2 linked regions of the Caenorhabditis elegans genome follow. The protein of the gene in region 1 interacts with the protein of each later gene in a pairwise test. Each region holds a gene or a part of one and is shown on either strand. Other genes may lie near its edges.

What was found.
Region 2: the proteins of klp-7 (region 1) and nfyb-1 interact in a two-hybrid assay, tested with the Caenorhabditis elegans proteins (2 studies listed by BioGRID).

What each region holds. Positions count from the first base shown.
Region 1 is NC_003281.10:10,803,948-10,811,539, reverse strand, and holds klp-7 (Kinesin-like protein), read right to left. Parts: upstream 5,616-7,592; 5' UTR 5,611-5,615; coding exon 5,442-5,610; intron 4,059-5,441; exon of another isoform or gene 4,038-4,058; intron 3,503-4,037; exon of another isoform or gene 3,358-3,502; intron 3,200-3,357; coding exon 3,081-3,199; intron 2,941-3,080; coding exon 2,724-2,940; intron 2,676-2,723; coding exon 2,018-2,675; intron 1,968-2,017; coding exon 1,506-1,967; intron 1,456-1,505; coding exon 1,144-1,455; intron 1,097-1,143; coding exon 790-1,096; 3' UTR 541-789; downstream 1-540.
Region 2 is NC_003280.10:461,325-469,164, reverse strand, and holds nfyb-1 (Nuclear transcription factor Y subunit nfyb-1), read left to right. Parts: upstream 1-1,799; 5' UTR 1,800-1,828; coding exon 1,829-2,033; intron 2,034-2,259; exon of another isoform or gene 2,260-2,316; intron 2,317-2,611; coding exon 2,612-2,773; intron 2,774-2,921; coding exon 2,922-3,122; intron 3,123-4,594; coding exon 4,595-4,713; intron 4,714-4,987; coding exon 4,988-5,144; intron 5,145-5,784; coding exon 5,785-5,861; intron 5,862-6,491; coding exon 6,492-6,591; intron 6,592-6,961; coding exon 6,962-7,152; 3' UTR 7,153-7,498; downstream 7,499-7,840. Other genes in the region: tomm-22 (Mitochondrial import receptor subunit TOM22 homolog), read left to right, coding at 485-655.

The DNA of each region.
Region 1 (7,592 bases):
TTACAGCCTAACATCAACTCAGAACAAACCAGGATCCCACGCAAGTTTAAAGGAGCATGCTGGGTATCACAACGATTTTTTGAAGAGAACGAGGCCCCACGAAACGGGGAGCAGAACGAAAAGGGGATCTGCAAAAAGGGGATCTGCAAAAAGGGGATCTGCGAAAAGGGGAGATATGAAAAGGGGAGATACGAAAAGGGGAGCTGGCACTGTGCCAAACGCACAAAACGCAATTTTTCTCACGCAACGCACGTTGATTTTTGAAATTTTCTTCTAGAAGATACGCTTAACAACACGCGACGCGTAACATCGGAGCATCGTTGTATTGTTTTCTTCGAGAAAAATAGCGTTTGGCACAGTGCCAGATCTCCTTTTCGTATCTCCCCTTTTTCGTATCTCCCCTTTTCGTATCTCCCCTTTTCGCAGATCTCCTTTTTGCAGATCCCCTTTTCGTTCTGCTCCCCTTTTCGTGGGGCCTCAAGAGAACGACTTAATTGTGCATGAATTCCGGAACAGCCACCTTCAAATTGAACACTGATTAAACGAATAAAATGGTTCATTTAAAACGGAACCGAGAAAAAATGGGGACCCGTAAAATATTCACAACGAGAGGGGAAAAAGATGGAAGGGGAGGGTCAAATAATTTTCACATACCCTAAATGAAATAAATACGGTAAAATATTGGAGGAATGCGATAAAAATAAATAGAAAATGGTGAATAATGAGGGGGGCGGGGAGTAATAATCATGGTACATGAAGTGGGTAGCATATCGTCGCGGGAATCAGCAATCAGACGTTTTCCACGGCGACACGGGTGTTCGAGACTATCTGCGCAAGTTGATCAAGCTTGGCGAGGCATTCGGCTTTCTGGGCAGCACTCGGCTCGTTGGAGAGGACAATCGTCGTTTCGCGTATGATCTTTTCAGACATATCTTTCAGGTTCCGGACGTGATCGACCGCTACTCGACGATGTTCTTGCTTCTCGACCATCTCATCGTACTCTTCATCCGATTTGTCTGCCGATGGGGGCAGGAACAATTCCTCGTCTCGAATTGGGGTTGCTTCGCCGCTTCCGTCGGTTCCCATTTCTTTGACACTGAAAAATGTGAATTTTTTTTAGCAAAAAATAAATAAAATTCCTACCGATCCGCGTAGCGAAGTGTGTTGAGCGTGTGATCACTCGACGAGATCCCTGGCGAAATCATCGAGATCATCACTGTCCTGGACTTCTCACCGATGAAGCTGTCTCGGAGAACCATCGTGAGCTTCGACTGTCTGAACGGGACATGTGAGCTGTTGCGAGCCATTCCACGGATGCACTCCTTCAGTGCGAGCAGCGATGTGTTGATGTTGGCGCCCTCTTTCCGCGTGTCACGATCGCATTCTCTCGTGTCTTGTCCTCGCTCGTTTCCAGCCAAGTCGATCAACGAGAACTTGCCCCACACCTTTTTGCCTCTGAAAATAATTAATTTTAAAGCAATCTTCACGTAAAAACAAAAACTAACTGTCTAAGAATGATCTGGAATATGGCGTGAGAACGCGACGAGTTCGCGTTTGCCGAAGTGGTTCCAGCGGTTCTGACCAGAGTTCCTTTGTTGATGAGCTCCAAGACATCCTGCTCATTGTGCGCTTGCTCCTCTTTGAGCCCAACAACCTGCACCTTCTGCATCTTATCCTCAAGCACACGAAGCTCGGCCTTATCGTTGAGCAAGTCGTACGTCTTCGTTCCGTAAATCTCGAAGAACGCACAGTGCACCGAGAGATCCTTGCGACGGTACTGTGGCTGCTCGAGCATCCGGAACACATCTCGTGCCGTCAACGCGTAGATTCCCATCGACGCATTCTGCTTCTTTCCGGAGAAATCTCCACCCATTGTGTGCGTCTTTCCGGATCCTGTTTGACCGTAGGCAAAGCACGTCGCAGTTCCATTGTCGAAGACGGTTTTCACGAGTGGTGCTGCAGTGAAGCTGAAAATATCATTTTTAAAAACGAAAACTGAAAAATTAAAAAAACCAACCGATAGACCAGCTCGTTGTTGGCGTACTCGTCGAAAGAGTAATCGAATCGGAACTTCTGATTGTCCAGATACTTTGTCAAGTCGACACGTGTTTGTGGTTGATGGAGAATTGTGATGTCACGAGAAGGGATCGTGATCACATCGACCTCCGCTTTCGTCAGCTCCTTCTTGTTCAGTGGGCGCTTCCGAACGCAAACGGAAATCCGATTCTCGTTGACACCGTCGAACATGCTCAACGGACGATAGTCGATCTGGGCTCTGTAGTTGCGAATCATCTCCGCGAAAGCAAAGTTCCCATTCGACGGCTGAACATCCTGTTGTGGATACGACCGCGGTACGTTCTTCGGCGACGGAACTCTTGCCACTGGAGACGGGGCTCGCTGTGATGTCATGTTGGCGATTGGTGGAGCAGGAACAGGGGCCGGAGCTGGAGCTACCACAACTGTGCGCCTTGCAGTGTGCTTCGGAACCGTGATCGCCGTACTATCAAGATCTGGCTTGAAGGCTGCTGTCGTACGAGTAGACTTCGGTGCAGGAGCAGCATCCTCCTTCGGTGACGGAGCACGACGAGTCGGGAGAGGCTTTTCGGATGGAGGAGCCATACGAACAGGAACGTGCTGCGTGAAAGCTCCCGTTGGTCGTTTGTTGGCAGAAGCACCTGAAAATCAATTTTTGTTTCATATTAAACCAGAACTCTCCAACAAACCTTTAGCCGGAATCATGTTGATATGATCCAAGAGGAATGTATCCTCGTCATCGAGTATCATGCTCTGCGCATGGATCCCGTTTTGTCTGTTGACAGCAGTTGACGCTTGAAGCGTTTTTTGAGGAGGCTGTGGCGGCGGCGTAGGCTTCGGTGCTTGGAGTGATGGGTTCAGCGTGAGAAGTTCTTCCAACGAGGATTCCTTTCCTTTTGTCTCGCCCTGAAAATGTGAAAGATTGCAAGAGAAAAAAGAGAAGAAAGAAAGTACACAATGCCAAATGCATGATTTTTGGTTCGGCATCACATCCGAAATGCATGATTCTGTGACGAGTGATGGTCTTCTCGAAGGATGCGACTCACCTTCTCATACCATTCCACCATAAACCGGCCGTTCGACTTAACTTCGGCGATTACGGCACCGTGGATGCGGCCGTCGCTCCGCTTGATTTCCACATGCATCCCGACGACAAGCATTTTACCTGAAAATAATAACAAATTAATTGGATTCGAGTTAATTAGAGCGTAAGAATAAAGGAAACAATTGTTCATATCCCATGAAAGAAAATGATAAACTATCGGAAAACATTAGTCAGTGGCGGGGGAGATGTTATGAAATGGCGAGTACTGCCGCTGCTGCTGCTGGGAAATTGGCGCGAAAATTGCGTTCGAAGGGGGAGTAGAGGGAGGAAAACGGATGAAATAGGCGAGGGGAGTGAAGAAACGCAGACAGGCGACCGCTCGATGGACACAGCATGGACGGGTGGGTCTGGACACACAAAGGAGTGCTTCTTCCAACGGATTACGGAGCGAAACGGTCAGAAACGTGGGCTCCAGAAATGTAAAACAGACGGTTTTGGAGGAGAAAACTAGTGTATTTTGATGATATCGATCAAAATCGATGTAACAGGATAATTTTGTAAAAAAAATGGTAGAAATGTTCGCGAAAATGGATCTTTTCTGAAGCGAAAAACAGAGAAAATTTCTTGAAAAGGTCTAAAAACTAAAAAATGCGGAAACGACTACGATACAAATTTCGCTACGAGACACGAGCTCAGCAGGCACGTATGTTCCTTTAAATGAATAATCGTTTCTTGGAGAAAATTCATGTTTTTTCATTAAAAAACATGAATATTGACTTGAATTCCATGTAAAAATCAGAAAACGACTACGATACAATTATTCTTTTTCTAGATTTTTTCGAGTTTCAAAGCAAAATGTTCAGATTATAATAATTATTTGCCATTAATCAAAAAGAAATTGTGACAAAATAAGAAAAATTAACTTAAAACAAAAAAAACTGGCCAAAAACCGGCTGAGTCAACCCGAAAACCACCTAAAATGATAGCGAAGGAAAAACAAAATGAGAGAAACTTCGCGAAACAAAAATATGAATTCGTGCGCGCCCGCCTGAGATCGTAGGTCAATTGTAGGTCAAAACATATCAGAGGCAATTAGACAAGTCTAGAAAAATTCAATTTTTGATTTCTCGCCTTTGCAAAGCTTTGTCAAAGCTTTGCATAATTTTCTATAATTTTAGACACTATTTATTAAATTTTTCCTTCAAATTCAACGATTTAAGCCGAGTTTTCGATTTGAAACCTACTTTTCCCTAATAAAAATTATCGAATTTCTCGAGAACAAATGTTCAAACGACTGAAACTAAAGAAGACTCGCCGGAATGCGGCAATAAAATGAGGGACACGAAGAATTGGAAGTGGGGGCTCGGTTCCCGAAGAGCTCGTGTTTCGCAATCGGGAATAGTTGGGGGGGGGGGGGGGGGGACCGAGAGAGCCGGAAGACGTGGAGGAGGGAAAGAAAATGCAGTGCTTCTAAATAGGACACATACACATGAAAAGCTCACAAAGAAAGACAGACAGAGAGACATTGCTCTATGGTTATGAGCTCTTTCTTGCTTTTTTTGGGTGTGGTGCAAAAAGACGGAGCAAAAAAGGATTATGATGGGTAACCTTTGCACATAAACACTTGGGAAACGTACGATACCAGGTCTCGACACGAAAAATTTTGGTTGAATGCAAAATTGTGTATGCGCCTTTAAATAGTAACTCTAACTGCAAAGCGGAATTTTCAGTTTTCATTTACTTTTCAAGAACATTTTTTGACGAAAAACTATTACTAAAACTATTACTACAACACAGAATTATGATAATGCGTCTCACACAACATATTTGACGCGCAAAATATCTTGTAACGAAAGCTACAGTAACTTTATAAATGACTACTGTAGTCGATTTACGGGCTCGGATGGATTAAAATTTTACTTTACTATCGCTAAAATATTAAAATAAAAATAAAAATGAGAAAATTATGCGAAGAAACGAATGAAAATGGAAAAAAAAGAATTAGAATTACTGTAGTTTTCGCTAACTTAAGAGATATTTTGTGCGTCAAATATGTTGCACAAGACGCTATTTTTTTTAAACAAAATAAAACACATTTAAAAATTGCGGAAACGGGAGACAATCCATGAATAATCGATGAAAATCGTGGTGGAAGTTAGGAAGTTACAGTACTCTTCAAAGGCGCACGCCTTTTTGCATATTACAAAAATTGTCGCGTCGGGATCGTATTTTCGAGTTCAAAAAAACGAAAAAGTTTGACATCTGAGTAATAACTGAAACTGGCTGAAAGTTCATGAAATGCGACAAAAAGAAATATAAGCCTCTCAGCTTATTTCCGAAAAAGTCGAGATGACTCACTTACCGGTCACATTATACCAAGGAAATGATATTTCCTCCCCTGAATCACTGTCCGGTGGACCGATTCCATGCTTTTCGACTTCTGATTTGGCCTTCGGAGCCCGTCGCCACGGCTTCTCGGCTCGTTTTCTCTGCACTTCAGGATTTTCCTTACAACTTCTGCAACTTTTCATCGGGATCGAATTGGAAATAATATTTTTTTCATTATTTTTTGTCCGAACGGAAAATAAACAATGCCACGTGACAATGCGAAATTTATGATGCCACGGGTTTTTTCTTTTTTCTTTTTATTTTTTATCCATTTTGGCTTAAAAAATCCACAACAAAAAACAAGAAAAATTCAATTAAAAAACACGGAGAAATGCGACCAATCAACGATGGAGTGGGAAATAAAAAAGAATGACTCCATATGATTTTCCAGGACTTTTGAATTTTTGAAAAAATCAGCTTTTATATATTTTTATCAATTAAAAAAAATACTTTTTTTTTGGGTTTTTCTTTTTTCTTTTTATTTTTTATCCATTTTGGCTTAAAAAATCCACAAAAAAACAAGAAAAATTCAATTAAAAAACACGGAGAAATGCGACCAATCAACGATGGAGTGTACGGAGTTCGAAGTCGCTGATTGGTCGCAGTTCTCATTTGAGAATTCCCTCCAGATAAAATGAGAACTGCAAGACCAATCAGCGATTCACTCCGCCTACTTTCCACCCAATCAGCATTCTTTAACTCCGCCCATTCCGTCTGATTGGTTGAGATTTGGGCGTAACGAATCGCTGATTGGTAGTTCTTTTTTGGAAGGATTTTATCGATTTTATCGTTTTTTTAATGATTCTTTTTGAATTTCAGACGTTTTTTTTTGAATTTTTTGAAGCAAAAACTATTCCACATTGAAAGGCAAAAGAAAAAAATACAATTCGCGCGCCGAGACCTTACTTTTAATTTTATTTTCCAGCAAAGAAAGAAATCAAAATATCTATATGTAACGCCCTTTTTCAGAGTTACAAAGTCTGTAATAAACATACCATAAAAATGAAAAATCAGCATCATTTTTTTGTCACATTGCATTTTTAACCTTTTCCACTGGCCGGCGGCGGCGTCCCATTAAAGAAAGTGATCCCTTATCACTTTTCTTGCTGATTATGAGACCAAAGTTTCCCCCCATGTTCTGGAATTTTTTTTTTAGGTTTCCGGCAATTTTTTCGTTTGAAATTCTACCATTTACAATTTAAATCTGTTTAATCCGATTGACTTATGTTTGCCGGTGGCGGTTTGTGTGTGTGTAATTCCCATCAAAAAATAAAAAACTTCGCTCCACACATTTTTACAGTGATGATTTTCGAATTTTTAAAAGAGTACTTGCAGAATTTGAAATAAATTTGTCTCTTTCGATCTGAATATATTACATTAGAACACAAAATTCTAATAATGCGTATTGCACAACATATTTGACGCGCAAAATATCTCGTAGCGAAAACTACAGTAATTCTTTAGATGACTACTGTAGCTCGATTTACGGGCTTGATTTTTAAAATGAATTTCTTCGTTTCGTCGTATAACTTTTTTCTTTTTTTTTGCTTAACTTTAATATTCTATAGATGAACAAATGATTTATGCAATTAATTTCAAAAATTGACCCCGTAAATCGACACTACAGTAGTCATTTAAAGAATTACTGTAGTTTTCGCTACGAGATATAGTTATAATTTATTTTGCTCGTCAAATATGTTGCCCAATACGCATTCTCAGAATATTATGCTCCCGTAATAAGGTTGCACCACCCCTAAACGCTGGGTCTCGTTAGGAATTGGACGGCAAAATTTTAGCCCGTTTTCAAAGAATTTTTCGTACTTTTTGAAAATTTTACCCATTGTTTTCAACTATTTTTTTCCTAAAAAAACATTTTAAAATATGTATTAAAATATGTATTCAGTTGGATTATTAGAAATTTCGATATGAAAATTAGTAGAAACAACAAAATACTACAAAATATATTAAAAACAGTGAGGTTTTTGCGATTTTTTGAAAGACCTGCAAACTTGCAAAAAGAGCATCCCCCTTAAAAATCCAAACTAATAAATAAGCACCCTAACGCCTAGTTTTTAGTTTATTTGGAGAGCCTATTCAACGCTTATCACCACACATTTTATTGCCC
Region 2 (7,840 bases), on another chromosome or scaffold:
GCAATTTTGAACCGAGAAAAAGTTGAAAATTTGCCTATTTTACACTGAAAACTCTAAAAAAGATTCAATTTTCTTTCAGTTTTCCCGAATTTCTGCTCTAAAAACTAAAAATTATCGATTTTTGCAGTATAACATCTAGAAAATCAACAATTTGACAATTTTAAACTGAAAAAAAGTAAAAATTCGGCCTTTTTTATTTGAAAACTCAAAAAAATCTTATTTATTCCTCTAAAAACCAAAAATTATTGATTTTTGCTATAAAACACTCGGAAAATCAACAATTTGACAATTTTTAATAGAGAAAAAATTAAAAATTTGCTTATTTTACACTGAAAACTCTAAAAAAGAATATGTTTTCTTTCAGTTTTCCCGAATTTCTGCTCTAAAAACTAAAAATTATCGATTTTTGTAAAAAAATCTCAATTTGACAGTAAAAACTCATATTTCACACTGAAAACTCCAAAAAAACTCAATTTTCTTTCAGTTTTCCCTTACAAAAAGCACAATTTGGGTTGTATCTACAACGTCATTGATCGCCTTCCTTCCATACATTATCGAAAAGGAACGAAGTGATTTGGAAAAGACTCAAGTGGCTCAGCAACGTCAAATGCTTCTCGGACCATCTGCGGCCATTCAACAAGCCAAAACTGCTTGAAAAACTTGATTTTCTCGCCGAAAATCCCCCTTAAAACCGTCTGAAATTGATCTTTTCCTAGATTTTCCCCTGTTTTTCGTCTTCTGATAGCTTTTTTTGCGATAGAATTCATTATCATATAAATTGTTGATTTTCTAACATTTTTCAAGGATTTTTCTAGCACAATATCCCGGTTTTTTCATCCAAAACTTGTATTTTTATCGATTTTTTTGACGTTTTTCACTTTTTCCAGGTAAAAATCCGAATTTTAAGCTTTAAAAAGCCTTAAAAAACACAAAAATTGCAAATTTTCGCGCTGAAAGTCGCATAAAATTGAATTTTTATAATTTCTGTTCGAAAAATCTTCAATTTTTCGCTGAAAAATTTTTTCCCTGGCAAAAATTCAAATTTTGGGTCTGCTAGGCTACAAACTACAAATTTCGATTTAGCAGACCCGATTTAGAAGAAAAAACGAAGAGTTTTCAGTCTAAAAAGCTTGAAAAATAGCCTTAAAACTTGATTTTTTCGCTTTTTTATTGAAAAAAAACAAAATTTATCATTTTTATCCCAGAAAATCGCTGAAAACCCCGAATTTCGCCTATTTTCTTCGTTTTCACCCAATTTTCTTCAAATTTTCGCAATTTTCAGCTCATTTCCATTATCTAAATTTTTTGCAGCACTGTATTCGGGTTATTTCATCCAAAATGCGTATTTTTATCTTTTTTTCTTGTAGTTTTTCACTTTTTTTCAGGCAAAAATATATGAGACATCGAATTTTAAGCTTTAAAAATGCTTAAAAACACAAAAATCGTCAATTTTTGCACTAAAAGTCCCAAAAACTTCAATTTTTCTAATTTTTATTCGAAAAATGTTCAATTTCTCGCTGAAAAATTGCTTTAAAAAAATTTAATTCTGAAAATTTTTGGTCTGCTAGACTACAAACTACAAATTTCGATTTAGCAGACCAATGTGATTTTTAAGAAGAAATTACGAGTTTTCACTTCGAAAAGCTTGAAAAATGGTCTTGAAACTTGATTTTTCCTGTTTTTTAATCTAAAAAATTAAAAATTTAGCATTTTCAGCTCGGAAAATCGCTGAAAACCCCGAATTTTTGCTATTTTTCCTTGTTTTCACCTTATTTTCTTCAAATTTTCGCAATTTTCAGCCCGTGTCCACCGTCTAAAAGCTCCCAAAATGGATCCAAAACCCATAAACGAAGGAATGTTACTGGAGGATCATGATCATGGAATGCCTGAAGAAGAAGAAATAACAGAAGATGATATGAATGGAATTCATAATATAGAAGAGGATACACGAACAATTAGTGAAATAGCAATGGAGCTTCATCATCCGAATAAAAGTCAAGTTTTACTTGATCAGGAACGATTTTTGCCAATTGGTATGGGAAAACATGCGGAAATTTTGATGAAAATCGATAAATTCCCGGAATTTTACACGAAAAATTGAAATTTCTTGAAAAATCTAGACTGAAAAGTGAAAAAATTCATAAATTTCCGATAAAAACCGCCATTTTTTCTAAAATTGCCCTTTAAAATGAAAAAATATCACATGGGTCTGCTAAATCGAAAATTGTAGTTTGTAGTCTAGCAGACCAATTTTGTTCAAAATCACTTTGGTCTGCTAAATCGAATTTTGTAGTTTGTAGTCTAGCAGACCAAACTTCTTCAATATCTATTGGTCTGCTAAATCTAAACTTGTAGTTTGTAGTCTAGCAGACCAATTTTGTTCAGAACAACAATGGTCTGCTAAATCGAATATTGTAGTTTGTAGTCTAGCAGACCAATTTTTTACAATTTTTTTTTCAAAAACATAAATTTTCGACAAAAATCGATTTTTTTTGTAATTTTTTTTTCAAGAATTGAAAGTTTCTCTGCAAAAAGGCATCAAGCTCGAGATTTTTCAATTTTTTTAAAACAAAAATCGTTGAAAATTCTCCAAAAATCCCAATTTTTTCAGCTAACGTGGTCCGAATCATGAAAACTCAAATGGATCCGCAGGCGAAATTGGCAAAAGACGCAAAGGAGTGTGCTCAAGAGTGTGTTTCAGAGTTTATAAGCTTTATCGCTTCGGAAGCCGCTGAAATATGCAATATTACGAAGCGGAAGACTATTACTGCAGGTAAAACCGGGAAACTCCGTCTAAAATTACCCGCAAATCGTCCAAAAACTACAATTTTCGCATGGAAAACCTTTTTAAAAACTCAAAAACAGCCCAAAAGCCCAAAAAACCCTAAAAACCGCAATTTTCAATATAAAAAAATTTCCAGACGACCTGCTCACCGCGATGGAAGCCACAGGATTCGACAATTACGCGGAGCCAATGCGAATTTTCCTTCAAAAGTACCGTCAGGCTCACAAGATCACTGGACCAATTCACAGAACACACCCAGACTACGTACGGCCTCCACAATTTCAAATGGATCCTTTTGTTCGGCCATTATTCTTCGATACGGAGCAAGGACGCAGATGTTCGTGTGTGAAAATCGGAAAATTTTGCCTGAAAATAGATTAAATTGATGGAAAAATAGAAAAAAAAACTGGAAATTTGACTGGAAATGGATTAAATTTATGGAAAAAATAGTAAAAAACTAGAAATTTCACAGAAAATAGACTAAATTAGTGGAAAAAAATAGAAAAAACGAAATTTGACAGAAAATAGACTAAATTTATGGAAAAAATAGTAAAAAACTAGAAATTTGACAGAAAATAGACTAAATTTATGGAAAAAAATAGAAAAAACGAAATTTGACAGAAAATAGACTAAATTTATGGAAAAAATAATAAAAAACTAGAAATTTCACAGAAAATAGACTAAATTTATGGAAAAAATAATAAAAAACTAGAAATTTCACAGAAAATAGACTAAATTTATGGAAAAAATAGAAAAAACCGGAAACTTGAAATTTAGACTAAGAATTGTTTTTTTTTCAAAGATTGAAGTACTGAGAATGATGATTTTTCATTTAAAAAAATTGTCAAAACTCTGAATTTTTTGCTGAAAAATATTCAGAAGCCGAAATAATAGTAAAAAAACGGTGAAAATTGCATTTTTTCCACATAAATCTCAAAAATTCATTTTTCAGTTTTTTTCAACTACAGTATCCTTTGAAGTCATAGAAAAAATTACAAGATTCGCAGAAAACTCGAAAAAATCATAATTTTAACGCTAAAAACTTAAAATTCAGAATTTTTGGCTTTTAATTTCGGCTTCTGAGTATTTTTCAGCAAAAAATTTAGAGTTTTGACACATTTTTAATGAAAATTATCATTCTCAGTGCTTCAAGCTTTGAAAAATTAATGGGAAGAATAGTAAAAACCTGAACAAAAATGGTTTTCTCTGGAAAAATTCCTAAAAATTTTTTTCAGAGCTTGAAGCACTGAGAATGATGATTTTCCTTTAAAAATTTGTCAAAATTCTAAATTTTTTGCTGAAAGTTGCACAAATTCTTAATTTTGAATTTTTAGCGTTAAATATATGATTTTTTCGAGTTTTCTACGAATCTTGCAACTTGTTCTATGACTTTCAAGGATACTATAGTTAAAAAAAAACTAATAATGCATTTTTAAGATTTATATGGAAAAATTGCAATTCTCACCGTTTTTTTCCCAAAATTTTGAATTTTTCGCGAAACTCAGCAGCTTTGCATAGTAGTTTCAAGCGACTTTTTTTCGGAAAAATACCGAAACTTGCTCTGAAAATGCCATATAACTCCTATAAGGATTACTGTAGTTTCTCTACAAAAATAAATTTCTGTGACTCATGTCCTTCTATCCAAATTGATGGCTGGAATATCGGTATTCTCGGCTGAAACATGCAATAAATACCGTATTCCAACCAACAATTTGTGCAATAGAGCACATTTGTCACCGGAGATGCGGAAGCTATGCCCAAATTTTCAATTTTTCTAGGAAAATGATGAAAAAAATTGCAATTTTCCAGGTACCGAGACTCAATACGTGATAAATGGCAGTGAAATTGTGAAAAATGCTCCATTGGGAGAAGAATGGAATGAGCAAACTGGTACATTGAATACCCGCGCAGATGGATATTATATGGAGGTGAAAATTGGATTTTCTGGATGGAAAACTGTGGAAAAATGGATTTTTCCACTAAAAACCTGAATTTTTAACTCAAAAATTGATTTTTTTAACTCAAAAATTGAATTTTTAATTCAAAAATTGAATTTTTAATTCAAAAATTGAATTTTTAACTCAAAAATTGAATTTTTAATTCAAAAATTGAATTTTTAACTCAAAAATTGAATTTTTAACTCAAAAATTGATTTTTTAACTCAAAAATTGATTTTTTAACTCAAAAAATTCGATTTTTCAGGAGCCAATGGAGCCGATGCCGATGGAAGAAGTAGAAATTGAAGAACACGAGGAAATTATTGAGCAAGATTCACTTGGAGCCATCGCCTTGGAGCAACAAGGCCAAATGCAGATTTATGTGGATCCAAAGACGAAACAACATTTTGCAGCGAAAGAAAGTACGGAATTTTTTATGAAATTCTGAATTTTCCAGCGTGAAAATTGGAAAAATTGAGAAAAATCGATTTTTTTTTGTGAAAATTCCGGAAAAATCGAAGTTTCGCCGATTTTGTGGCGTTTCCAGAAAATTTCTCATTTTTTTCCTTAAAAATTAGAAAAATTAGATTTTTACAGCACAAAAAAAACAGAAAATTGAAATTTTCTTGATTTCCAGCTCAAAAATTGGAAAAAATGGTTTAAAACCGATTTTGAACGGAAAAAATCTAGGAAAATCGATTTTTTTTTTGGTGAAAACTTCAGAAAAAATCGAAATTTCGTCAACTTTTGTGGATTTTACTGAAAATTCCCTATGTTTGCCGTAAAGATTAGAAAAAATTGGTCCAGATTTGATTTTTACAGCAGAAAACTAGAAAATTCAAATTTTTTTTGATTTTTAGCATAAAAACTCGAAAAAATTGGTTTTAATTTGATTTTCTACCTGAAAAATCCGAGAAAATCGATATTTTCCCGATTTTTATATTAAAATTTGTGAAAATTGACATTTTCTCGATTTTTCTGAAAACAATTGTGAATTTTCTCGATTTTCTGTCAAATATCTAAGAAAATGTTTTTAAATAATTCCGGAAAAGCAAATTTCAGCTCCGAATGGCATGGAACTCTACCCTCTGATCATCCAGGACACCCCACTGCAATTGGAAAATGTTTCTGGGCCAAATGTACGATTTCCAGCACTTTTCACAGCGAATTTCAGATTTTTAGTGCGAAATTCGAATTCAGCGCCTCAATTTACCCCCAGAACCCTGTTTCCCCGTCTTCTAGCTCAACATTTTGAATATTTCGGGTTACTGTAGCCCCAAGAGTACGCAAACACCGACTACTGTAACCCAAAGCACCAGATTTTACGGCATTGGCGAATTTCGAGCTGAAAATTGATTTGACGGGGTAAATTGGAGTGCTGAATTCAAAAATCGTATTTAAAATTTCAGAAAATTTGATTTGAAAATCGGAAATTTTGAAATTTTCAGACAAATTTTTTTTTGGGCAAAAACCTTGTAATTTTGAAATTTTAATGCGAAATTCGAATTCAGCGCCAAAAATTACCTTCATTTTCCTTTTCCCCGTGCTTCTAGCTCAAAGTTTGAATATTTTGGGTTACTGTAGCCCCAAGAGTACGCAAATACCGACTACAGTACCCCAAAACACCAGATTTTACGAAATTTGCGAATGTTGAGCTGAAAATTGATTTCCCGGGGTAAAATTGGAGTGCTGAATTCGAAAATCGTATTGAAAATTTCAGAAATTTTGATTAAAAAATTTTTTTTGTTCGAAATTTAATATTTTTTCAGCAATTCGTTATGAATATGCCAGATGGACGAGCAATACCCCACGGAATGGGACAAGAAGAGCCTCAGCCAGTGTCAAGTAGCTCAGTTATGCGGAAAATCGGTAAAATATTGCATTTTTTAGTGATTTTCTGTTCAAAAATGCTGAAAAATGGAGATTTTACTGGTTTTAATGGGAAAAAATCAAGTTTTTAGCATTTTTGAGCCATTTTAATCGGGAAAAAAGTGATTTTGAAGCATTTTAACCCCAATTTTCCAGTTTTATAAAATGAATTTTCCGATTAAATAAGTGTTTTCATGTATTTTCAGCTAATTTTTAGTCTTTTTTAATCGAAAAAACTGATTTTCAGCCAATTTTTCTTTTAAAAAAAGTGATTTTAGGCATTTTTGGCCTATTTTTACCTATTTTGCATATGTTTTTTTCAGAAAAATGAAATTTTTGCACATTTTCAGTCAATTTTCCCGATTTTCAGGTCAAAATCCGTCTTCCTATGCCCAGCAGCACCACCACGTCAGCCACGTGGAACAACACGATGACGTGGAATATGAAGAAGAAGAAGAAGTAGATCAAGTAGAGGAGGATACAGTACCCGTTCCAATCGCGCCGAGACCCGCAGCCACCCGAGTTCAGCCGAAACGAACGCCGACGAAGAGGAAAAAGTAGAGAAAATTGCAAAAAATGATAATTTCTCGATTTTTATTGTATTTTTCGCATTTTTTCACCCTGAAATCCCAACTTTTTGAGGAATTTTTAAAATTTTGCACTGAAAATCACCATTTTTACCGAATTTTTTATTGGATTTTTTCTCATTTTCCCTCAAAACTGAATCTGAAAACTGCAATTTTTGCAAAAATTCAATTTTCCAAAATTTTCCATTTTTCATTGATCTCCATCGTATCCATTTCCTTGACAACTTAACATATACAATTGTAATTATTTTTGAAATATTTATTCATTTATTTATTTATATCTCTAATTTATTGCAAAAAAATAAATTCAATTATACCCCAATGCCTCAGTTTTCACTTAACCACCAAAAAAATTCGTTTCAAATCGATTTTTCAATTTTTCCACACTTTTCCCATTGAATTTCAAATTTTCAATGCGAAATTCGAATTCAGCGCCTCAAATTACCCCTATTTCCTTTTTCTCCCGGCTTCCAGCTCTAATTTTAAGAAAATTGGGGTACTGTAGCTCCAGGAGTACGCAAACACTGACTACAGTACCCCAAAACGCCTGATTTTACGACACTTGCGAATTTTGAGCTGAAAATTGATTTGACGGAGTAAAATGGGGTGCTGAATTCTAAAATCGTATTAAAAATTTCTGAAAATTTTTATTTGAAAATCTG